3 linked regions of the Macaca fascicularis genome follow. The protein of the gene in region 1 binds, or shares a complex with, the protein of each later gene. Links are inferred from orthologs where the notes say so. Each region holds a gene or a part of one and is shown on either strand. Other genes may lie near its edges.

What was found. Proteins that work in one complex are often made in the same cells at the same time.
Region 2: the proteins of GPSM2 (region 1) and NUMA1 are in contact, whole or in part, in a crystal structure (PDB 6HC2), measured with the Homo sapiens proteins. The link is inferred for Macaca fascicularis from reciprocal best matches to the Homo sapiens genes GPSM2 and NUMA1. Residues at the interface, in NP_001307967.1 of Homo sapiens: Ala28, Leu29, Glu32, Cys35, Lys36, Phe47, Lys59, Thr60, Ser62, Ala63, Ile64, Ser66, Gln67, Asn70, Ala71, Phe73, Asn110, Lys113, Tyr146, His153, Lys157, Pro164, Gln165, Arg203, Gly206, Asn207, Asn210, Tyr213, Leu214, Arg228; in NP_006176.2 of Homo sapiens: Ser1901, Phe1902, Tyr1903, Met1904, Gly1905, Thr1906, Cys1907, Gln1908, Asp1909, Glu1910, Pro1911, Glu1912, Leu1914, Asp1916, Trp1917, Asn1918, Arg1919, Ile1920, Ala1921, Leu1923.
Region 3: the proteins of GPSM2 (region 1) and FRMPD4 are in contact, whole or in part, in a crystal structure (PDB 4WND), measured with the Homo sapiens proteins. The link is inferred for Macaca fascicularis from reciprocal best matches to the Homo sapiens genes GPSM2 and FRMPD4. Residues at the interface, in NP_001307967.1 of Homo sapiens: Leu25, Ala28, Leu29, Glu32, Asp57, Lys59, Thr60, Ser62, Ala63, Ile64, Ser66, Gln67, Asn70, Phe73, Tyr74, His85, Asp88, Ala92, Gly100, Lys103, Asn107, Asn110, Thr111, Lys113, His128, Arg143, Tyr146, Asn147, Asn150, His153; in NP_055543.2 of Homo sapiens: Gln988, Leu989, Leu990, His991, Ser992, His994, Met995, Glu996, Met997, Glu998, Pro999, Glu1000, Thr1001, Met1002, Glu1003, Thr1004, Lys1005, Ser1006, Val1007, Thr1008, Asp1009, Tyr1010, Phe1011, Ser1012.

What each region holds. Positions count from the first base shown.
Region 1 is NC_088375.1:125,551,606-125,559,073, forward strand, and holds part of GPSM2 (G-protein-signaling modulator 2), read right to left. Parts: intron 6,187-7,468; coding exon 5,965-6,186; intron 5,571-5,964; coding exon 5,435-5,570; intron 5,101-5,434; coding exon 4,955-5,100; intron 4,416-4,954; coding exon 4,292-4,415; intron 4,179-4,291; coding exon 4,063-4,178; intron 1,265-4,062; coding exon 1,109-1,264; intron 1-1,108. UniProt on the Homo sapiens protein: Plays an important role in mitotic spindle pole organization via its interaction with NUMA1. Required for cortical dynein-dynactin complex recruitment during metaphase. Plays a role in metaphase spindle orientation.
Region 2 is NC_088388.1:70,764,866-70,772,333, forward strand, and holds part of NUMA1 (nuclear mitotic apparatus protein 1), read right to left. Parts: coding exon 7,308-7,468; intron 6,857-7,307; coding exon 6,815-6,856; intron 5,284-6,814; coding exon 5,215-5,283; intron 3,832-5,214; coding exon 3,712-3,831; intron 3,630-3,711; coding exon 3,411-3,629; intron 3,290-3,410; coding exon 3,132-3,289; intron 1,842-3,131; coding exon 1,595-1,841; intron 691-1,594; coding exon 462-690; intron 1-461. UniProt on the Homo sapiens protein: Microtubule (MT)-binding protein that plays a role in the formation and maintenance of the spindle poles and the alignement and the segregation of chromosomes during mitotic cell division.
Region 3 is NC_088395.1:12,489,647-12,497,114, forward strand, and holds part of FRMPD4 (FERM and PDZ domain-containing protein 4), read left to right. Parts: intron 1-1,092; coding exon 1,093-2,157; intron 2,158-2,530; coding exon 2,531-3,820; intron 3,821-5,443; coding exon of another isoform or gene 5,444-5,448; coding exon 5,449-6,773; 3' UTR 6,774-7,468. UniProt on the Homo sapiens protein: Positive regulator of dendritic spine morphogenesis and density. Required for the maintenance of excitatory synaptic transmission. Binds phosphatidylinositol 4,5-bisphosphate.

The sequences.
Region 1 (7,468 bases):
GGAGAGAGAACTCACTACCTCTTGAGGTAGCATACTTCATTTTGAACAACTGCATCGAAAAGTTCTCTTTCATACTGAGGTAAAAAAAAAATCGATTTTCCAAAGCAAATATCACAGACTAAATGCTGGCAAATACTGTTTTTTTAATACAGTAAAACAAAACAACTGAATTAGCCACTAACATTTAAAAAGCAGATTTCATATAAAACTCAGCACTTCCAACTTTTCTTTAAAAAACAGGAAGATGTGGACACAATGGATTTTCATTCCTGCCTGGCAACAATTATTTGGAGTTGGGTAGCAGTTGCCCCCTTCACACTGGGCATTATCTCTTAAGTTTACCACAATTCCCACACTTACATAGTTAGGAAGACTTTTTTTTTTTTTTTTTGAGATGCAGTCTCGCTCTGTTGCCAGGCTGGAGTACAGTGGTGTGATCTCAGATCACTGCAACGTCCACCTCCTGGGTTCAAGTGATCTTCCTGCCTCAGCCTCCTGAGTAGCTGGGATTACAGGCACGCCCCCTCCCCACACGCAGCTAATTTTTGCATTTTTAGTAGATACGGGATTACACTTACGTAGTTAGGAAGACTTTTTTTTTGAGATACAGTCTCACTCTGTCGCCAGGCTGGAGTACAGTGGCGTGATCTTGGCTCACTGCAACCTCCACCTCCTGGGTTCAAGCGATTCTCCTGCCTCAGCCTCCCAAGTAGCTGGGATTACAGGCGTGCCCCACCACGCCTGGCTAATTTTTGTACTTTTTGTAAAGATGGGGTTTCTCCAGGAAGACTTCTGAAGAGGTAACTGAGTTTGGGACCTAGTCACTGATCTTGGGTCAAGGGCATATGGAACCAGACTAATCCTCTATCACAGACTAATCCTCTATCACAGACTAATTCTCTATTGCAGACAGTCCTCTATCACAGACTAATCCTCTATCACAGACTAGCCCTTCATACAACGATATACAGAGGATATCACTGAAAAAGAAAATTCCTTAAAAGGGATTTTAAGGTAAACACAGGAAAAGAAACAAAGGAAAAACTCTAGGGATTCAATAATGCATCTATATTTTACCTTAGTTACGGTCAAAAGATGTAAAACATACCTATCATTCAGCTCTTGAGCAATTGCTAAGTGCTTCAGATGATAATCAATGGCCTTTTCATAGTCTTGAAGCAAAGTATATGTATTTCCAAGACTGTAACAAGACTGTGCTTCTACAGCTCGGTCTTTAAGCTGTCGAGCCAACAGTAGTGTCTTCCTACAAGAAGAAATTAATTCTTACATAATGATCATTCTCAGTTTGGGCTTTAAGGATCACAAAATAAAACTCTAATTTTTCCTCTCTGCTGCTTTCTGCTGCCTTTAAATCTCTGAGAGCCTAATATTCATATCCCATACTTTCTTCATTACTTTTAGACAAAATGAAAAGGCCTTTTTGAAACACAGAAAGCAGATTCAAGACAGAATAAATTTGAGAATCCTAACAATTCACCAAAGTAAAGGAGTATTGAAACATGAAATCAAGAGTTTCTAGAGGTTAACATACTATCTTTAACATTAAAAAAAAACTTTCCCTTTAGTATTGGCTTTTTTCCACATGACATCTGTTTTCAATCGTACCGTCACCTTTGCATTGTCAAAATTTAAAATATTTAGGTAAAATTCTTATGTGTAGGCTATTAGTCACCACTTAGGTAAAATTCTTATGTATAGGGCATTAGTCATCAACTCATGAAAAATACTGAATGCTGCATCCAAACATTACCCATTCTAACTGTGGTATTGTCAGTGAGAAGCTAGCATAGCAGTTAAGAGTATAGATCTTGGAGCTAGACTGGGTTTAAATCCCAACTTTGCCAATTACTAAGCTAAGGGCAAAGTATGTATACCAGTCTCTCCATATATAAAATGGGAGAAATACCTCAAAGGATTTTTGTGAGGATTAAATTAATATGTATAGATAAAAAGTGCTTAGAATAGCATCTTGTGCATAGTAGATGCTGTATAAATGTTAATATGTTATTATTATCAGTGCTTAAACCTACAGATGCTTTTGGATTCAGTAATTTAAATGGCTCTCCCACCATTTCTGCCAAATAGTGTAATTACTTCATATCATTTATAACTATATGACAAATTACTATACGGTAATGTGATAGCTTTTTCTTAAACAAATCTAAAATTACATATTTAATGATGATACATTCAAATCTGTCGCCTTGGGAGGCTACCTAATTATTCTAATGCTGCCTGTCTTTTCAAATATTTTTGAAAGACTTTTGGAATTGCTCTCAGATCCTGTGACATAATGCTTTCTGGCATACCATTATTCTTTGATGGTACAGTTGATTTGTAAATGATCAGAAATCTTTCTGGAACCAAATTCAATTACTAACATAGGTTTACCAAACTACTGCTTTGTATCTGGAAGGATATGGATCTACAATGTTATGTCAGCCTTCTTGTTTGGCCCTGATAACAATTCTGGGCTGGGTGTGGTTCACACCTGTAATCCCAGCACTTTGGGAGGCCGAGGTGGGCGTATCACTTGAGGTCAGGAGTTCAAGACTAGCCTGGCCAACATGGTGAAACCCCATCTCTACTAAAAATACAAAAATTAGCTGGGTATGGTGGCAGACGCCTGTAATTCCAGCTGCTCAGGAAGCTGAGGCAGGAGAATCGCTTGAACCCAGGAGGTAGAGGTTTCAGTGCACCAAGATTGTGCCATTGCACTCCAGCCTGGGCAACAAGAGCAAAACTCAAAACTCTGTATTTAAAAAAAAAAAAAAAAAAAAAAAAATCTAAAGAAGAGTTCTAAAAATATTTCTAACCGACAACTTGGAATATATATAAAGTTCTGAGTTCCAGCCTGCTTATAGGGAGAAAAAAAGTAAGTTTCATTACTTTATATTCATGCTTCTTTAGTCAAATAGCCACTATCCATTTTATAATAGAACCTTTCAGTATGTAACACAGGTATGCCATTTAATAATTAAGACTTCTCTATATCCCTTGGCTTTAAAACATAAGAAACTTTTATATTTAAAATCAAAATATATACTCCTTCATATAGTACATAGTAATATGTTTTATTTGGGAGGCTATTTCATATCTAACTGACCTAACCAACCAACAAATATTAACCATTAGTTAATGTTTAAAGCAAAGTGGAATGCTATTCAATTTTTTTTAGATAGGCCTGAAACAATTTTACCTTTTTATGAAGATGACAAAATTATCCAGAACTGTCTCATATTGGATTCTTTAACAAAATACAAATCAATCACTGTGTCTTCAGTTTAGTCAAACTGGCTTCTACCCAAAATCTATAAGGGCCTTCAATCCCCACTAACTAGGGAAAACTCAATGTAGAAAGCACAGACCAGGCAACTTGAAGCTGTCTAAACTTTCTATCATCTATGTCTCACATCTACTGATAAGAGACATCCTGCCACAGAAGGAGCTGGGATTGCAAACTCCTCAGGTAAGTGAATGGGGACGCAGCTTACAGTGACACAGTCAAATATGGGCAGAAAGAGGGTAAAGGGAGAACTGCTCAGTAAGAAGGTGGGAAGGTAGAGCAAAAAAATCAGTGATCACTGATAGAGACTATAAATATTTTTGTTACCAGGCTTTCTTTTGGCATCTCTTCTAACCCATAATTGAGTGAAATAAAGCATATACACAATATACACCACATATGCTAAGTAGGTTTAAAAGATATTAAAGGCTGAAAACTTCATTTAAAAACAATTACTTTTAAAGATAAAAACCAGTACTATAAAGGGGTCATACTGCTGCTATTAAATCTTAGGTACAATAATATTTATTGAGCGCTGTGTACCAGGCACTGTGCTAAGTGTTTAATATATTATTTCATTCACTCTTCACAGTATTCCCCAAAATGATGTATTGATATATTCTGTTACAGATAAGGAAATTGAGGCTTAGATGCCAAAAGTCCTGCTGCAATCAGATTTTAAACCTAAAGCCTATAAATTAATGGGATTGAATAACTATTCATTTTACATTTATCTACAGAAATATTAGACTAACTTGTAGTAGTCTGAGGCAGTTTCAAATTCACCAAGAAATATATATGCGTTTCCAAGGTTACTATATGCTCTTCTTTCAGCCGCTTTATCTCCAAATTCTTTTGCAATCAGGAGACGCTGAAACAGAAAATTTTAATTAGATGTAGCTAAAATAAAATGGAAGAATGATCTAATCACTGTTCAGAACTTTGATGGAGGAAATGGTCTGGCTCCAAGGCCTTCCACTGTACCTGCTCATGAGCTATAACTGCATCCCTGAAATTGCCAAGGAGGTAATGTGTGTTCCCAAGATTTCCAAAGGCACGTCCTTGTGCTGCTCGGTCACCCAAAGCAGTCACTAATGATAGATTTTCCCTAAGGGATAGCAAAAAGTGACGAAAAAATAAGTTTGCAAAACAATTTTATTTATGTGATTTACATAGCTAATTCTTTTTATCAGAAAAAAATGTAAGGAAGCTTACAGCCATAATGTGCAACATTTTAAGGATGACATCAATGATGAAGAGCAATTATAGGAAATAGCTGGGAACACTTTATTAAACTATTCAGATAGGTTTCTGCCCAGGGTCAAGCACAGAGTTAATCTTGGAACCCCTATAGTTAAGTAGTTGTATGAAATTCTATTGGTAAAAGACTAAATTACTCTAAATAACAGCCCAACCATTGATATTTCTTGTTTTTGCCACTAAGTGGCACTGGTCTGCAATTTAAATGAAAGCTGCAGATTACTACTAATAACACTATAACATTTAAGCAACTGAATTGATGATTTTGCTAGTTCATAGCTTTAAAACCTTTGCCAAACTTAAAAACTTTACTACTGAATAAAGAACGTATAGCAGATCCACAGCTTAGATGGGCCTACATGATTGCCCATATCAGCCCCTACTCACTCATAAAAATCCACGGCTGCCTGCAGAGCATCTCTCACTTCTTCTGGAAATTCTCCTACATCATCCTGGGGACCAGGGTAACCAAAACTTTTCCCTTTGGCATGATACACATTCCCAAGATTGTAAAGTGCTCTTGCTTCTCCCACCTAAATGAAGACATCAGCAAAGTTTACATTTTGAAAACAGAGGTCAGATTTATCATATATATTTGTAATATCCTTAGTATTATGGACAAGGGAAAGAAATTTTTATATTGGCTCTCCATACAGAACCAATCAAATAATTACTTATAAAAGAAAGACCTCTATTTCCTTCTTTTTCTCCATTAAATTTTTTTTTCTCTTTTACTTCTATTAGTCTATCAATGTTTTCTTTTTTGGTATTAATTTTTAAATAAACTATAGAATAATTAAATAGTATTAAAATGCAAAGCCATCTGAATGAAAATATTAGACCTACCATCTAATGCTGCAGTATTACCTTGTCATTAAGCTCTCTGGAAATATCTAGGTGTCGCTGACAACAAACTATGGCTTCATCAAAATTCCCAAGAACTTTTAAGGTGTTTCCCAGATTACCACTAGCTTTCGCTTCCCCCAACTGGTCTCCAATAGTCCTGAAAAAAGCAAAAAACAAAAAAAAAAATGGTATTGAAATACAAATGGTGTTAAAATATAAAGCAGCCAGAGTACAGTTTTCCAAGAGGACAAACTGACATGCTTAAGGTAAGAAAAACCCATCGGCTTTGAAACCTACTTTAAATAAATATTTAAAACTTACATTTCTGGATTCAAATGTAATTAGTTTTCATCCATTTAATTAAACTCTAGGGTCATTTCACTACTATTCATTCAATTAAACTGTGTTCAACCTAAAGGTTAGTTTTAAAAAGTGATGCTACTGAAGTAGAACTCATTAAATGTATTAAGTTAGTTTTTGTTAATTGAATAGAAATATTTTTTAATGTAATAGCTAATTTCAGAAGGAAGAATATTTAAAAGCTTAATTACCTTGCAAGAGTTAAATCATGATGGTGATATTCTAATGCTTTGGCATAATCATGCAAATAGAAATAAGCATTGCCCAGCTGGCTGTAAATAGCACTAAGTGTTTTTAGGTCTTCAGTTCCAACTTGAACTGCAGCTTCAAAGAATGACACACCAGCGCGGCAGTCTCCTGATTTACATAGACGTTCCCCTTCCAAGGCCAGCTCTAGGCAAGAAGCTTCCATTCTACAAAATTATACAGGACAGACATTTAAACATAACATTACAGCTGCATCACAGTATTTTTAACTTCCAGTAATATAATTTAAATGTAGACTATATGGCTACTCTTGTTCAGGGCAGCTGCCTCTATAACTGAAATCTATATACATTCCTGATGAAACAGTGAAACAGTTATTTGTAGCAAGAGGTAATTTGCCTACTCAAATTTCTCTGAGCCTGCTCAGAGAGGTCAGGATAGCTAAATATCTGTATGTGGAGCTCATTTTAATTGGCCCAGAGCAATCCATGTTACTAGTGAAAGAACCTATAGCAGTATTTCCCAAACAATTCTGAGTTGTAACAGACCTCTGGACTTCCTTAGAGTCTGAGGAGATGAGTATGTGGGAAAGTGAGGCCCTACAATTATTAATACTGTTCTCTACCCAGGTATCCAAGTTATCCAAGTACTCTAGTCACTTGTTCATCAACCCCTCTGACCATCCATCCATCCATCCATCCATCCATCCATCCATCCATCCATCCATCCCTCGCTCTCTCTCATACACACACAACACACACTCAGTCTCCTTCCTCTTCTTACCACCACATGACCACGTATACCACAGAAAAATAGAGGAACAAAATATTCTTGATCTATAAGGCACATTTTCACAAGAGAACTAAGTGTCAGGAAACTAAGTTAGAAAATAATGATTCAAAAATTTGCAGAAATACTAAGTTTGGAAGTCTGTCCCTGAATTGAAAAAGAAGGATGAAGTTACTGTAAACGTATCTGGGAGAAAAAAACACTGATACTTCGGATTCAAATCCTAAATTTTAGAGGGTGCCCCTCACCAAAATTGCCATTGTGTTTCTTCAGCATCTTCATGATTTCTGCCATATGTATGAACTACCTATTCGTTTAATTATTTCTGTAATTTGGCAAATTCCCTTTAAATTGGCACACTATCTTTATCATTGAAAAAAAATGGAGCTTCATCCAAAGCAGTACTCATGAAACTGTGAATTTGATATGATACTTATATTTATATTCTAATATGGCAGTCTCCAACCTTTTTGGCACCAGGGGCCGGTTTTGTGGAAGACAATTTTTCCATGGATGGGTGGCAGGGGATGGTTTTGGGATGATTCAAGCGCATTACATTTATTGTACACTTTATTCCTTTTGTTACTACACATTCACCATAATGTAGAATCAGTGGGAGCCCTGAGCTTGTTTTCCTGAAACTAGATGGTCCCATCTGGGTGTGATTGGAGACAGTGACATCTCATCAGGTATTAGACT
Region 2 (7,468 bases), on another chromosome or scaffold:
AGAGGGCAGAAGAGGTCACATGCAGAGGCTGCTACTACATCTTATTCACCAGCCAAGGCTTGGTGCCCAACACCCAGAGGAACGAATTAAGGACCAGGAATTGATTCCCAGGGGCTCTCTGGTGCCCAAAGGACAAGAGCTTCCAAGAAGAGTCTGGCCAGCCTGGCCTTTCCAGCAGCCCATCACCACCTAAGGGCATGGAGGACTCCCCACGGCTAAGTGTCACAATTGTGCTGGGAATCCCAGGCCCTTAACTCTGGCTAAGAGTGCCCCTAACACAGCCAGCCCCTAGATGGGCAGGTAAGGAAGGCCCTGAGGCTGCAGGAAGGAGGGGCAGGTGGAGGTGGACGGTAGCAAGGAGGCCAGCCTTGGATTTTTAAAAAGCTTTCCTCTTTTCCCTGTGCCACGATCCACCTTCCATTCTAATTTTGGGGTATAGTAAGTCCCTGTAGTCCCCTCACCTGGAGGGGCCCCACTGGACACCCCGGCCTGGGAGCGACGAGCAGAACTGCGAGTGGTGGGGCGGTAGCCGGGCAAGCTGAGCAGGGCTGAGTTGCCATAATCGGGAGAACTCAGGCGAGCTAGAGACTGAGTAGAGGAGGTGGCTCGCAGGCTAGCCTGGGAAGCCGGAGCAGACCGCGTGCTATAGAAGGATGAGTTGGCGCTGTCTGGCTCTTCCACATCTAGCTTCTGGAAGAGAGAGTGAATCTGTTGCAATGGGGTGGGCCCTGGCACTATACAGAAGCCTCCCATTCCCTCCCAAAGCCCTCAGATCCCACGGCACATCCATGCATTCCCAACAGCTTTGCAAAGGCCCTTAACGTGTGTCTGCAAGAAATGGGCCTTGTTGACAGAAGCCCTCACAAGGTGGTGCTGATGTTGTCAAGACTCTTTTCTATGCATTTTTTTCATGGAGTCTATTCATAATGCTTTGAGGGAGGGAATGCAGAGTGTTTATTGGCCCATTTTAGAGGTGAAGTGCAAAGAAATGAAGTGACTAGCCCCAAATCACACTGCTAGGAAGTATCAGAGCTGTCTCCTGACTAGTCAGGCTCATCCCACAGCCTCTGCTGTCCCTCAGTCCAAGCTTCCAGGGCCCTTACCATTTTCTACAACTTCCCCAACTTCTTGGTAGCAGGGGACACCCTGCACACACAGGTCCTCCCTGCTGTACCGGGGCCCCTCTCCCCTCCTCCCAAACCTCCCCTTCAAGATGTGGAAACAAAGGCAAGGGCCCACAGCCTGGCAGGCAGTCCACTGGGCAGCAACAATGCCTCTCAGCTGCATGGGGCATGCTGGGAGGCACTGGATGGGCTGCAGCTTCACCATGTTCTCTCCCTTCACCCTGCACAGGCTCAGTGCTACACATGGAGAGAACACTAGCCTTAGTCAGGAGGCAGGGATCTAATCCCAGCCCTGCCCTTTTCTTCAGAAGTGCCCCTAACCAAGTCACTGCCCTTTTTAAGACCTCAGCTTTCCCACTGTAACATGGACTGGCTGCTCATCCCTGCCTGCTCCTGAGTGCCCAATGCAAAGACGCCCTTGAGAGGAAGTGGGAATTGCTGCCCTGCAGCCCCTGTCCCGACAGCCTGACCTTGGTCATGGTGATGTTGATGATCTGTGTGGTGCGCCGACGAGCAGAGCGGGTCTTACGACCTGAGTCCAGGAAGACATCTCCCAGGGAGTCCAGGCTGCTCTCCAGGGGGGCCTGACTCCGAGCAGGGATGGGAGTGAAGTAGAGACTCTCCAGGGATTCTACCTTGGGGGGCAGGCGCTGGGAGATAGGTGAGGCTGGTTCTCCAGGGACGCTGGTGCCGTCTGGCTGGGTACGAGGCAGCTTGCTATGGAAAGGAAACCTGCTGAGGTACAGTCTTTTGGGCTAGAAGGCATTTTGTCCAGCCCTTTTCCAAAGTGACCATTTTCCATACTATAAGCAGATGAGGTCAAGCAACCCATGTCTCTGAATTTTCAGAGGTACCAAGGAAAGCCCTTGACCTGGGCCTTCCCTTCAGTCCACTCCCCTGGCTTCTCCTAATACCTCCTCATAGTGGCAATGCCCAGACCCAGATGTCCCATCCTCACCAGATGCCCACGGCTGCTCCACAGCAAACACGTCCCAATCTAAGCCCACTTCTCTGTTCTTCCTCCTTCATCTCCCATTTCAGTGAATACGAGCACCTGCCACTCAGGCCCCCAAACCATGAACATGGGCATAATTCTATGTTGTCCTGCTTGGGAAGCCCAATCACCAAGCTTCCTCAACAGCTCTCCTAACCATACCCTCTCCATGCTTATGTCCTTTTCCTGGTTTGTCTCATCTCCTCTCACCTAGACTCATCATGGCACTCACAGAGGCAGATGAGTGGTGACAAGCAAGGACTCAGGCCAGGCTGCACAGGGTCAAACCCCAGCTCTACCACTGGGGGACCTTGGGCAAATGACTACCCCTCTATGCCCCAGATTCATCTGTTAAAGGAGACAGAATAAACCTACCTCAGAGGGTTGTTGGGGGATAAATCAGGTATAATTGTTATGAGTGCTTTATGTCTAGCACAAAATAAGTACAATGTAAGTGTTTAATAAAAACAATATGTATTTCCAGTCTTAACTTCTATATTGGCTATTAGAATCATCTTTTTAAGATGGAAATTAACCATGTACTCTTCAGTTTCAAATTCTTCCAAGGTTCCTTTTTTTTTTTTCCCTTAAACCTTTCAATTATAGCCACCAAGGTTTCCTCAATGCCTTTAGGATCAAGTCTTAATAGCCGGTCTCCAACGGGGAGTCCAGATGGCCCTCTAGGATCTTGGGCCTTCCTGGCCTTGCATCTCAGCCTAGTCAGGCTCTTTCACAGCCTCTGTTCACACTGCTCTTCTCTGTCAACCTGGCACACACACCTATGGATGCTTTCAAGACTCAGCAGGAGCGATAGCTTCCATGAAGCCTTTCTTGACCGCTTGCTTTTTATTCCAACTGTGCCCTAAACAGACATCTGGTATAATACCTGTTTTTCTTTATTCTTCTCTAAGAATAAATTTGGATCACATCTTATTTATCTCACCAGGATACAGCCTGATAAACAGCGGGTACTCCATAAACAACAGACATAGGGAGGAAGAGTGCCTCCTGACCTAGTGATACTGAGTGGGGTCCCCTCCTCGCAGCTCAGATCCAGGCTGTCAATACTCAAGTCCAGCTGGGGCTTAGCCTGGGGCTCACGGCTCTTTAAAGCATCAGTTGCCACCTGGAATTTGCCCAGGTCTCGAAGCTGCTGGTCTGCGTGGGCAACCTGAGAAGGAGAGGGCCAGGGGGAGAGTGAAGAAAAACCTAAGGCATCAGTGGCCTAGGAGGAGAGGGCACAGGGGTCCAGTGGGATAGGGGTGAGGTGAGTCTGCCAGCCAAATTCTTACCTGTGCCTCCAGGCTGCGCACCTGGGCAGTAAGGTGGCGGCATGTCTGTTCAGCCTCCTTGGTCTTCAGCCCAGCCTGCTGTAGCTCATGGCCCAGCCGTTCGGCTTCAGCTCGCAGCTCTTTGTTTTCCTTCTGCAGGTGCTCCAGGCTCTGCAGCTGCTCCTGCAGCTCTTGGTTCTGCTGCTTCTTGGCATCATAATGAGTTTTGGCTTTCTCCATCTGTGGGCAGAGAGGATGGGTGGGTGGGGCAGAGGCTGGAGGGCAGGAAGAAGGTAGCATGGGCTGGGGCTGGGCTCCTTACCTGCAGCTTATAGTGCTCAGCTGCCTGCTCCTTCTGGCTCAACTGGGCTTGCAGTTCATTCAGCCGGGCCTGGAGGCGCTGGGCCTCCTGCTGGCTCTCACCGCCCTGAGCCTGGACAGCCTGAGAAGAAAGTCCACTCAGGAAAGCTGGTCTGGCCCCTCTACCCAAGTCCACTCATCTGCATCAGCCACTGGGGCTCAAGAGGTGCTTCAGACTCCTGCACTTAGGAAGAGGAAGAAAACCACACCACCCCAGATACACTCCACCCGACTACAGCCTACTGAACCTGAAGTCCACATGCCCTTCAGTCCACATCCATAGTGGCCTTTCCCTGACCAGCTCCTGCCCTATCTTTGCCTTCTTTGAGATAGGACACAAACTGTCTCACCCTCTTTGCATGCACACACAATCTCCCCTAGGAGGAAGGGAACCGATCCTCGAGGAACACCCAGGTGCGGAGCCTGGAGTGAGGCACTTGGCATGTGAGCTCTCTGAGGACAGGGGAACTTGTTTCTCCTCAAAGCCACTCTGAGAAGTCACTTCATCCCCTTTTCAGAGGAGGAAACTGAGTTCAAAGATTTAAGCAAATTGACCATAGCAACAATGACTAAATGGCAGAGTAAGACTTGGTCCACTAAACTCCAAAAGCCCGTGGGGGCTTATTTATGATGCCCACACTGCCTCCTGTCCAGACTATAACTCCTTAAGAACAGGGCCTGATTCTCTGTCCATCTGCAAGGCCAGCAAGTACTCTGCGGTAGATACTGTACAGAAACATCCCACCTTTGCCTCTCCTAACACAGGACAGGCCCCACAAGGAGCAGAATAAACATTTGTTTATTGCAATCAAGACATGCTGTGGCACCATGGTATGAAATGAAGCTCTGAGCTCCCACCAACTCCTAGGACCCACCAGGGCTTTAGTGAGTCCCAATACCACTGATGTCCAATTCCTTTGCCCCTGACTAAAGGCTGTGCAGCCTAGAACTGCAGAAAGCAAGTATTAAACCAAAGAAGGTGACACAGTTGGAATCATTAAGAATGTTATTAAACTGCATTGTAATATTCAACACTGGTGACACTCGTTCTTTCCCTGCCCAGACTATCTGGACTTACATGGTTCAACAGAACTTTATGCAACGGTGGAAAGTTCTGTATCTGTGCTGTCCAATGCAGCAGCCACTAACCACATGTAGCTACTGAGCAGGGACACAATGTAGCTAGTGTGATTGAAGAACTGGATTTACTTTAATAAATTTCAATAACCACACATGACTAGTAGCTGCTGTAGTGGAGACAGTTGAGAGATGGGAACCACCCTGGTTGTCTCTTGAGAGCTCCCAGAAGACACACGCAGGGGCTTCTAAGCCACAGGCTTCCTAGGAGGGCTGCCTGGAACACAGGGTGCCCCTCCTCTGCCCCCACACCCCCACGGCCCGAGAGCTTAGAGAACAGCTTTCCTCCCCTGTCCAGAGGCCAGACCCGTTCCCCCAGCTGCCCCACCTTCAGCTTCTGCTGCTGCACTTTGCTGGCTTGGTCAGAGTCAGCCAGTTTCTTCCTCAGTTCTTCCACCTGGGGAGGGAAGAGGAGGACAGAAGACTCAGGAGGACTTCCCCTGGATGTTCATCCCAGATGTCTACCCATCATGGGGTGGCCCAGACCAGGATCCCCAGTATTCCTAGAATAAACTCAGGCCCTTTCTCTGGCCTCCAATTAGGGAACAGCCTGCTGCCCAGGCTGCTTGGCAGGGCCTGAGTGAGGCAATCTAACACATAAATGTTGCCAGGGCCACCTGTCCATACTTGCCTCTACCCTGAGCCTGCAGAGAAAGAGGCCTGCCCAACCCCTGTCACCTCCAGAATCGGAATTGACTCTGCAGAGCTGACACTTCACCACCACCCTGCTGCTGCCACCACTCTGCAGCCGCAACCTTCCCAGGACCTAGTCTGTAATTCTAGCCGACATACTCAATGAATTGCCATGCCTCCCTCCCAGAAACTGCCAAAGCCCAAGCCCACAGATGCTCAGACCTCTTCCCAACATCCACAGGCTGTTAGGGCTGGTGCTAGCAGCATGGCTGCTGTGGTTAGCATTGGGGGAACAGATTGCTGGAAGACAAGAGCAGGTGTAGCACATGTACTCCAAAGCCCACCCAACTCCCACAAAGAGGAGCACAGGGAGTAGGGGAAAAGAAAGAACATAACAGCCCCATGCACCCCTGGCTGCTTCAAGTATTCTGGGAGTTCAAGCATGACCAGGCAGCACAGGGGAGAGGCAAGGGCTCCATTGCTAACTGTTTGCTATTCACTTTGATTCTCCCCCATTATCACAGGCTCCTTAGAGGAAGAGGAGGGCCCAATTTTTCGGCAGTCCTGGGGTGGCTGGGTAGGAGAGTGACGGGGAAAGGGTGCTCTAACACTAGCTCTATAGCCTCGATGTCTCAGGCAACACAGAGATTCCCGTGAGAAAGAGGCAGCCAGACCATGTGACCCCCCACTCCCCTGCCCCCATCTGGTATAGACCCCTCCTGCTACTTCACCCTCAGCCTTCCTGCTACAGACATCTCTATGCTGTGCTTGGGGTTAGAGCCCCAGAAAGTGATGGGCAAGTGTCCTGAGCCCACAGTTCTCCCTAACCTGTGGGGGCTGCCTCGCATATCACCTTCAAGGCTTCCATAAAGCTGTACTCTGGTAAAAAGGGACACAATGTTAAACGAGGCCCATAGGTAATTCTGCTGTTCCTCTTAGTTGGGTATCCTTAACTAGACACAGTACTTGGGAAGTTTTAGAATCCCAAAGATTGTGTCTGTCGTTGGTTCAGGTGTGGGAAAGATGAAGCCAGTGCTACCCCTTGTCCCTGACAGGCAGATGAGAGAAGGTGCAGAAGGGTGGAGGGGCCGACCTGGGATGGGTGGGATGAAGCCCGAGAGAGCCCAGCACACCGCACTCCTGGGAAGCCTGGGCCTGGATTCCATGGCTTGACCCTGCCCCCTTCACAAACAGTTCACAACAGGAGCTGGCGGAGGCAAGCTGCAGCCGGGCTCATGCACCGAAACTGGTCACCGTTTAAGCAGCCAGCATTTAGCGAGGACCCCAGGCATTACCTGTTTAGTTTGCTCTCTCTGAAATACCTCTAGCTGCTCCACCTGTACATGGGGGAGGAGCAATGGAGACAGAGTGAGATGAGGCCAAAGAGGCACCAGCCCTGCTGCCAGGCTGACCTCACTGAGGCTCTGATACTTTCCCCTAAGGCGCTAGATTGACAGTAAGTTTAAAAATGCCAGTTAGACTGATTCTAGTCCCCAGTGGCTCCTGAGGCATCCAGTGCAGGTGCACCTCTGTATGGGCTGGTGGTCATCACAGCTTGACTCTCCAGTGACAGAGCCTTCAGGAGAGGGGAGGCCACTGACATTTTCTTTAGGATGACAGGGGCAACAGACTTGAACTCCATCAGCCACCTCTCCTTTTCTGCCACCCAGTGAATGAGGAAAGGCAAGACACTCCAGTGTAGGAGCCAGAGGCCCTGGAACACAGGATCGATGTCCCCATGCTCTCAGCTCCTGATCGTTGGGAGGGTGGTTGGGCTGAGTACCTTACCTGGGCAGTGAGTTTCTGCTTCTCTTCCTGGAACCGCTGCCTCTCCTCCAGGACCTTGACCTTGGCACCCTCATACTTGGCAGTCATCACCTCCAGCTCCCGGGCAGTGCTCTGTGCTTCCCGCTGCACCTCAGCCAGACGAGTCTCAGCATCAGCACGTA
Region 3 (7,468 bases), on another chromosome or scaffold:
GGAGCAAAAACCTCTTTGGTAAAACTGTACTTTTTTCCCATATGTCTTGCACATCTGATGTCAGTTATCCAAACTTGTGCTGGGGACAATTTGAGGGAATGGATGGGAGAATAGTATGGCCCTAAAATTTTCTCAAAATGTTGCCTCTGGAATCTATAAGGCAATATCAACAGAATGACCCAGTTCTCTGTCTTGTTAAATATCAGAACAAATCTCCACATCAAAATTCCAGATTGAAAGATGCTTGAAGAGCAAACAAACTAATAGTATTTAAATTGGGGTTTTGTAATTTTAATCCATGAGGAACATGAAACAAATTTTCAGGAGTTCCCGTGATACAAACAAAAATTGAAATTAATCTAAATATTAATTATGCTTAGAAATTACAGAGAAAAGTACCTTACCTGTGACCACTCCACCTTATGCATTTTATACACACACACACACACACACACACACACAGAGGCATGCATGCTGACATTTATACATGAATATTTTAACATCTACTAGGATATCAAAAGACTGAAGATAGAAGTTTTGTACTATCATTACAATATTTATTTTAATTTCCCATATGGCAAAACTCTGACAATCCTTGACTATCTCTGAACTCAATGAGGAAAACATTCAATATCTTCCTTCATGAAGTAGGGAATATTAGATCTCACCTTACAAAAAAAGAACAATTAATGTTCTGGAATAATGGCCTATTGAAATCTCACCTTTAAGGGTAAAAGGCATGTTGTATATTTACATTCGTAGATATGAATGAAGCCTTTTAATAATAGAACCAAGGGTCAGATGGAATTAAGCTATACTTCCCTACCCCCGGATGGTATTACATTTTATCACATAGCAATTACAATTTATGCAGTATCAATTTTGTTAAGGTTGGTTCTCCTAACCCAAGGAATTCTTACACCTGAAGCCTAAATCAACAAGTACTATATTTGGGTAGTTGAAAAACTGTATTTACACAAGTGATGCTACAAGCCATTAAGTTAAAAAACAGAGACGAGCCCCCCCCCACCCCTGCCCCACCCAAAACCAGACAGTACAGTAATGTGTCTTTGCATGATTCTTTCTCTTTAGGAACTGAAAACAAGGGGAAGCATAACCTCCTTGGCCCAGATTGGAACTGTATACCCCAAATGACCACCTTTATTGGCGAAGGGGAACAAGAAGCCCAGATAACATACATAGATTCAAAGCAGAAGACGGTGGAGATCACAGACAGCACCATATGTCCAAAAGAGCACCGGCACTTGTACATAGACAACACCTATAGTTCAGATGCACTTAACCAGCAGCTGAGCCAGCCCGGGGAGGCCCCCTGTGAGGCAGACTATAGAAGTCTCGCTCAGCAGTCCCTATTGACCCTCTCAGGACCAGAAACTCTGAAGAAAGCACAGGAATCTCCGAGAGGAGCTAAAGTGTCCTTTATTTTTGGAGACTTTGCCTTGGATGATGGTATTAGTCCCCCAACCCTCGGCTATGAAACACTACTAGATGAGAGTCCTGAAATGCTGGAGAAGCAGAGAAATCTCTACATCGGCAGTGCCAGTGACATGAAGGGCCTGGATCTCACTCCAGAGGCAGAGGGCATCCAGTTTGTGGAAAATTCTGTTTATGCAAACATAGGCGATGTGAAGAGCTTCCAGGCTGCAGAGGGGATCGAGGAGCCCCTCTTGCATGACATCTGTTATGCAGAAAACACTGATGACGCAGAGGATGAGGACGAGGTGAGCTGTGAGGAGGACCTCGTGGTGGGGGAGATGAACCAGCCGGCCATCCTCAACCTGTCTGGGTCAAGCGATGACATCATTGACCTCACATCCCTGCCCCCTCCAGAAGGTGATGACAATGAGGATGACTTCCTGTTGCGTTCCTTGAACATGGCCATTGCCGCACCCCCACCTGGCTTTAGAGACAGTTCAGATGAAGAGGACTCTCAGAGCCAGGCAGCTTCCTTCCCCGAGGACAAGGAGAAAGGCGGCAGCCTGCAAAATGATGAGATCCCCGTGTCCCTCATTGACGCTGTGCCCACCAGCGCCGAAGGCAAGTGTGAGAAGGGACTGGATAATGCCGTTGTCTCCACGCTGGGAGCTCTAGAGACTCTATCCGTGTCAGAAGAACAGCAGACCAGTGACAATTCAGGTTCTTTCACAATTGTTACATTCATTCACTGATAACCATATCATTCCATCCTTCCAAGCCATTTGCCCTTGGAGTTCTGTTACATGGTGTTCTCCATTTCACAAATGTCCCATTTCATAAACGTGCTGAAACTGCCATCATAGGTTTTTTTGTGTGTATGTGATTTCTTTTGTTGTTACTTTTTTAAAAACATAAGGCACATCTCCCCCACCCCCACCCCCATTTCTGGAAAAACTGCAATAAACTCAGAGTCCTTACTGAAAAGGGAAAAACTTGGTATTTTGTTTTAGTAATAACGGGTCCCATTTTCTTACATGTCTCCAAGTGCCTCTGATGCATCCATTAATCAGTTCTTGTTTTTTACGGCATGCAGGTGTAGCCATCTTGCGGGCTTATAGTCCTGAGTCTTCGTCAGACTCGGGCAATGAAACTAACTCTTCTGAAATGACTGAGAGTTCTGAACTGGCCACAGCACAAAAACAGTCAGAAAACCTCTCCCGCATGTTCTTGGCCACTCACGAAGGCTACCACCCCCTTGCAGAAGAGCAGACTGAGTTCCCGGCCTCCAAGACCCCCACTGGGGGCTTGCATCCAAAGTCCTCGCACACCCTGGCTGCTAGGCCAGCAACTGACCTCCCGCCCAAAGTTGTGCCTTCCAAGCAGTTACTTCACTCAGACCACATGGAGATGGAGCCTGAAACCATGGAGACTAAGTCAGTCACTGACTATTTCAGCAAACTGCACATGGGGTCGGTGGCATACTCCTGCACTAGCAAAAGGAAAAGCAAGCTGGCCGATGGTGAGGGGAAGGCACCCCCTAATGGGAACACAATAGGAAAAAAACAGCAGGGGACCAAAACGGCAGAGATGGAGGAGGACGCCAGTGGTAAATTTGGTACTGTGTCTTCACGGGACAGTCAACACCTGAGCACTTTTAACCTGGAGAGAACTGCCTTTCGCAAGGACAGCCAAAGATGGTATGTGGCCACTGAAAGCGGGATGGCTGAAAAAAGTGGATTAGAAGCAGCAACGGGGAAAACCTTTCCAAGAGCTTCTGGTCTTGGGGCAAGGGAGGCTGAAGGGAAGGAAGAAGGAGCTCCTGATGGAGAAACCAGTGATGGCTCAGGACTTGGTCAAGGGGACCACTTCTTAACTGACGTGACCTGTGCATCTTCAGCCAAAGACTTAGATAACCCAGAGGACGCTGACTCGTCCACCTGCGACCATCCTTCCAAGCTTCCTGAGGCTGATGAGAGTGTGGCCCACCTTTGTGACTACCACTTGGCCAAGCGGATGTCATCGCTGCAAAGCGAGGGCCATTTTTCTCTGCAGAGCTCCCAAGGCTCTTCAGTGGATGCAGGCTGTGGCACGGGCAGCAGCGGCAGTGCCTGCGCCACACCCGTGGAGTCGCCGCTCTGCCCCTCCCTAGGGAAGCACTTGATTCCTGACGCTTCTGGGAAAGGCGTGAATTACATTCCTTCAGAGGAGAGAGCCCCTGGGCTTCCCAACCACGGAGCCACCTTTAAGGAACTGCACCCACAGACAGAAGGGATGTGTCCACGAATGACAGTGCCTGCTCTGCACACAGCCATTAACACCGAACCCCTGTTTGGCACATTGAGAGATGGATGCCATCGGCTCCCCAAGATTAAGGAAACCACAGGTACAGCAATGATGGATTTAGCACTTTGTATGACATGCCAGGAGCATGTAAACCATATTTACAACAAACTTACAAACGTAAAGTCTGGAAGAAAAGTAAAAGGTAGAATTTAAAAGGCCACAGAACAGTAAAGTACCAATCATTGATCCCCTAATATTTAATAAATACTAAAGATTACAAAGGTGAAAATGGCATTTGCGCTTTATAATCTTGCTCTGTGTTTGCTTTCAGAATTTGATGGAGCAATATGTTTTTTTCCTAAATTCTAAATGCAGATGTTTAGCAATGCCCAGTGTGACTTTTAGTTATATGATAGTATTGCTTAGAGTCACATACCAGTTTGATTTTCTTCCCAAGACATCTGATTTCTAATTCTGCCATTTCATTATTGAGGGACAAAGAAGAATAAGAGAGCAGGGTATCAGGGAGATTGGAGGGGTTTGGAGAGATTATTTGCCTTTCAGCAATCTTACTGACTCCTCCCTACTCTGACATACCCCAGTGTCAGGAAGATTTTGAGGTTATGTCTGATGAGCTGCTTTATTTTCCCCAAAATAATAAAGTGTAAACACACATAGAAACAAGAACACATCCACCTTCTGTATCCCACCTTCACTACTCCACCACTCAATGGTATGCATTCCCCTCACTGATCCACTTGGCTGGTCATTATATGGCAAAAGCAGATACTCTCTCATATTTTCATATTTCAAATTATGTCATCAATAGTGTCTTTTTCATACAGGTCAATAGAAGTTAGTGAGATCTTATATTGGTCATTTTCTATTCCTGTTCTTTTAAGATTTTCTACTTTCTCAAAACCCACCACTGGCTTTACCTGCCTTGGAAAAGTTATCTGTGAATATTACCTAACTCATCACCCAACTGCATATTTACCTCTAAACTAACTAAGTCACACTGTTTAATCTTTCATGATTTATAAAGAACTTTCACCTGAGTTACCTCTTGCTTCTCACAAATATTCTGTGAGATGGGGATTATTTGCTTCACATGACAGCTTTTCTTAAACAAACAAAAAAAAAATGTTGAGCAACTGGCCCAAGGTCTCAACTTCAGACTTTGTACCAGGCAAACCTCATGCTGTCCTCTTAAAAAGATTCACTTATTTAATTTGCATTAATTAAATTAGGCCACTTCTTTAAAAGAAAGAAAGGAAAGAAAGAAAAAGAAAGAAAGTAAGGAAAAGAAAAGAAAGAAAGAAACTGATGCCAGGTTTAACTTAATTCCCTTGAAATGAAACTTAGTATCTTCAATATATTTGAATAATCTATACATAGTTATTTTCTGTGTCTAAGCTTGATAGATAGATATTGGTAGCAAGGCAATTCATGAAATCCCTGAAAATGTTTGGGATTTCTAGACAATTTCAAATGAATCAGCAGTTCCAGAAATAACAGATTCCAGTATTTTCTTGATATTCATTAAAATGGAAATTTGTTATGAGATATCAAGATGCAGCCTTTGGAAAGCAGGGTGACCTTAGCATACGGCAGCCCTTCCAGACTACATCCTTGAGAAATGACAGACATCATGTAGAGATGTAGTAAAAATGGCCTCCCAGGAGATGCTTAATGATTCTCTCTGTTTTTCTACTACCCCTAGTGTAGCTTTGACAGAGCCTGGGAAGGAGAGACGAGGAGGCATGCCTTCAGCTTGGTCTCAACATCCTGAAGCTGATCCCATCCTGCTACCATCAAACATTCACTCGGAATCAAAGGTGCCAATTCCAAATCAAGACCCTAATGATTTCTCCCAAGCAAATCAGGCATATGGAGAGGCTGTGAGCTGGCGGCCACCGGATCTGAGAGGGGGAAGCCTCAGGACACCCCCCAGCCAGAAGGCTCTGAGACATAGCAGCAGTGTCCTCTCCGGATCTGTCGATTTGGAGACCTTCCGAGAGAGAACCAAGGGTGCAGTCAGCTTAAAGTGTCCAGGCATCACAGAAGCACAGGAGGCCAGTTCTGAAAGGCGAGCAGAACTCCCCCTGGGGAGGAAGCTCACCAAAAGTTTTTCCCAAAGCTCGATGCACTTGAGCTCCGAGGGGAGGTTTCACAAAAGGTCCCCAGTGGCTCATAAAGACTCAAAGCTGTATAGGACATTACCCTTGCGGAAGCTGGAGGGCAGCAATTGGAGATGCCGGGGACCCTTCAGCTATTGCTTCCTGAACCGAGGGCAGGATGAAGATGGTGAGGAAGAGGAGGAGAGAGGAGAGGCCACCGTCCAGGTCGCTTGCCTCTATAGACCACAGATGACTCAAGCCACGCCAGAACCAAGCAGCCCATGTCTGGCTGTGGCAATTCAGAAGCAAGGAGGGGAGCTATCCAGAGGGTCAGTGCTGAAGGTCTGGGCAGAAGACCTGCGAGGCCCAGATGACTTGGACTTCAGCAACCTGGCTTTTGATGCCCGGATTGCAAGAATAAATGCCCTAAAGGAGAGCACATATGCAATGCCTGATGGGTTCCTTGCAGCCCAAAATGATGCCAATGAGCTGCTCTGTCTCGTCAGGGCAACAAAGGAGAAGAAAGAGGAGTCACGCCCTGAAGCATACGACCTTACACTTTCTCAGTACAAGCAACTGTTGTCCATTGAGTCCAGACAGTTGGGAAGTGCCTGTAGGAAAATGGCGATGGCTGAGAAAAGCCCGGAGGAGATGCTCCTAGCTATGACTTCCAGCTTTCAAGTGCTCTGTTGCCTAACAGAAGCTTGCATGCGATTAGTTAAAGTCGTGAACTCAGAAACACAGCGGCAGGAAATTGTAGGGAAGATCGATGAAGTGGTCATAAATTACATTTGTCTACTGAAAGCTGCCGAAGCAGCCACTGGAAAGAACCCTGGGGACCCTAATGTTGGATTCTCGGTGCGACACTCAACCACCATGGCCGCTCTCGTAAGCACACTGACACGTTCTCTCAAGAGGCTTTTAAACAAATAAATATGGAAGTCACGTCATAATCTACCTTTACGAAGCCATACATGAACTTTTATTTACTTTGTGTGTATGATGAACAGATGTCTCCTTTCTTCTCTCTGTATATTTTGTTATTTTATATAAAATAGGAGATAAAAGTCACATTGATGAAATGTTGAAATGTACTAATCAGATGTATTCTGTTTATATTATACATATATATACACGTAAAAGAAATATCCAAGAAAGTGATGACATTTGGCTATTTTTCATATAGTTAAAACTCCAGGTATATGATGTGAAATTTTAAATTCTACCATGTTAGAGCAAAACAATGAATCCTATCCCCTTTCTTTCCAAGTAGATACTTGGAGATCACATCATTCATATTTAGAAGTAAAACAAAAAAACAAAAAAAGAGAGAGAAAAGAAAAGAAATCACAATGTATATAAAACAGTACTAATGTTTTAAAATTATGATTTTTAAGCATTGGAAATAGCAAAAAGACATTTAAAATTCAAGAAGCTATTATGAATTACTAGAGACTATATCTGTAATAAATTAATTTTTTGCTCATAGTATTTGGTTACTGGATGCTTTCTTCCAAGAATCCCACATATTTAATTTGGGTTTTTGCTATTTGGGCTACAAATTGGTGGGGGTGGATTCTACTGTGTCAGCACAAATGCTCTTCACAGTGTTTCTAGCATTTAAAAAA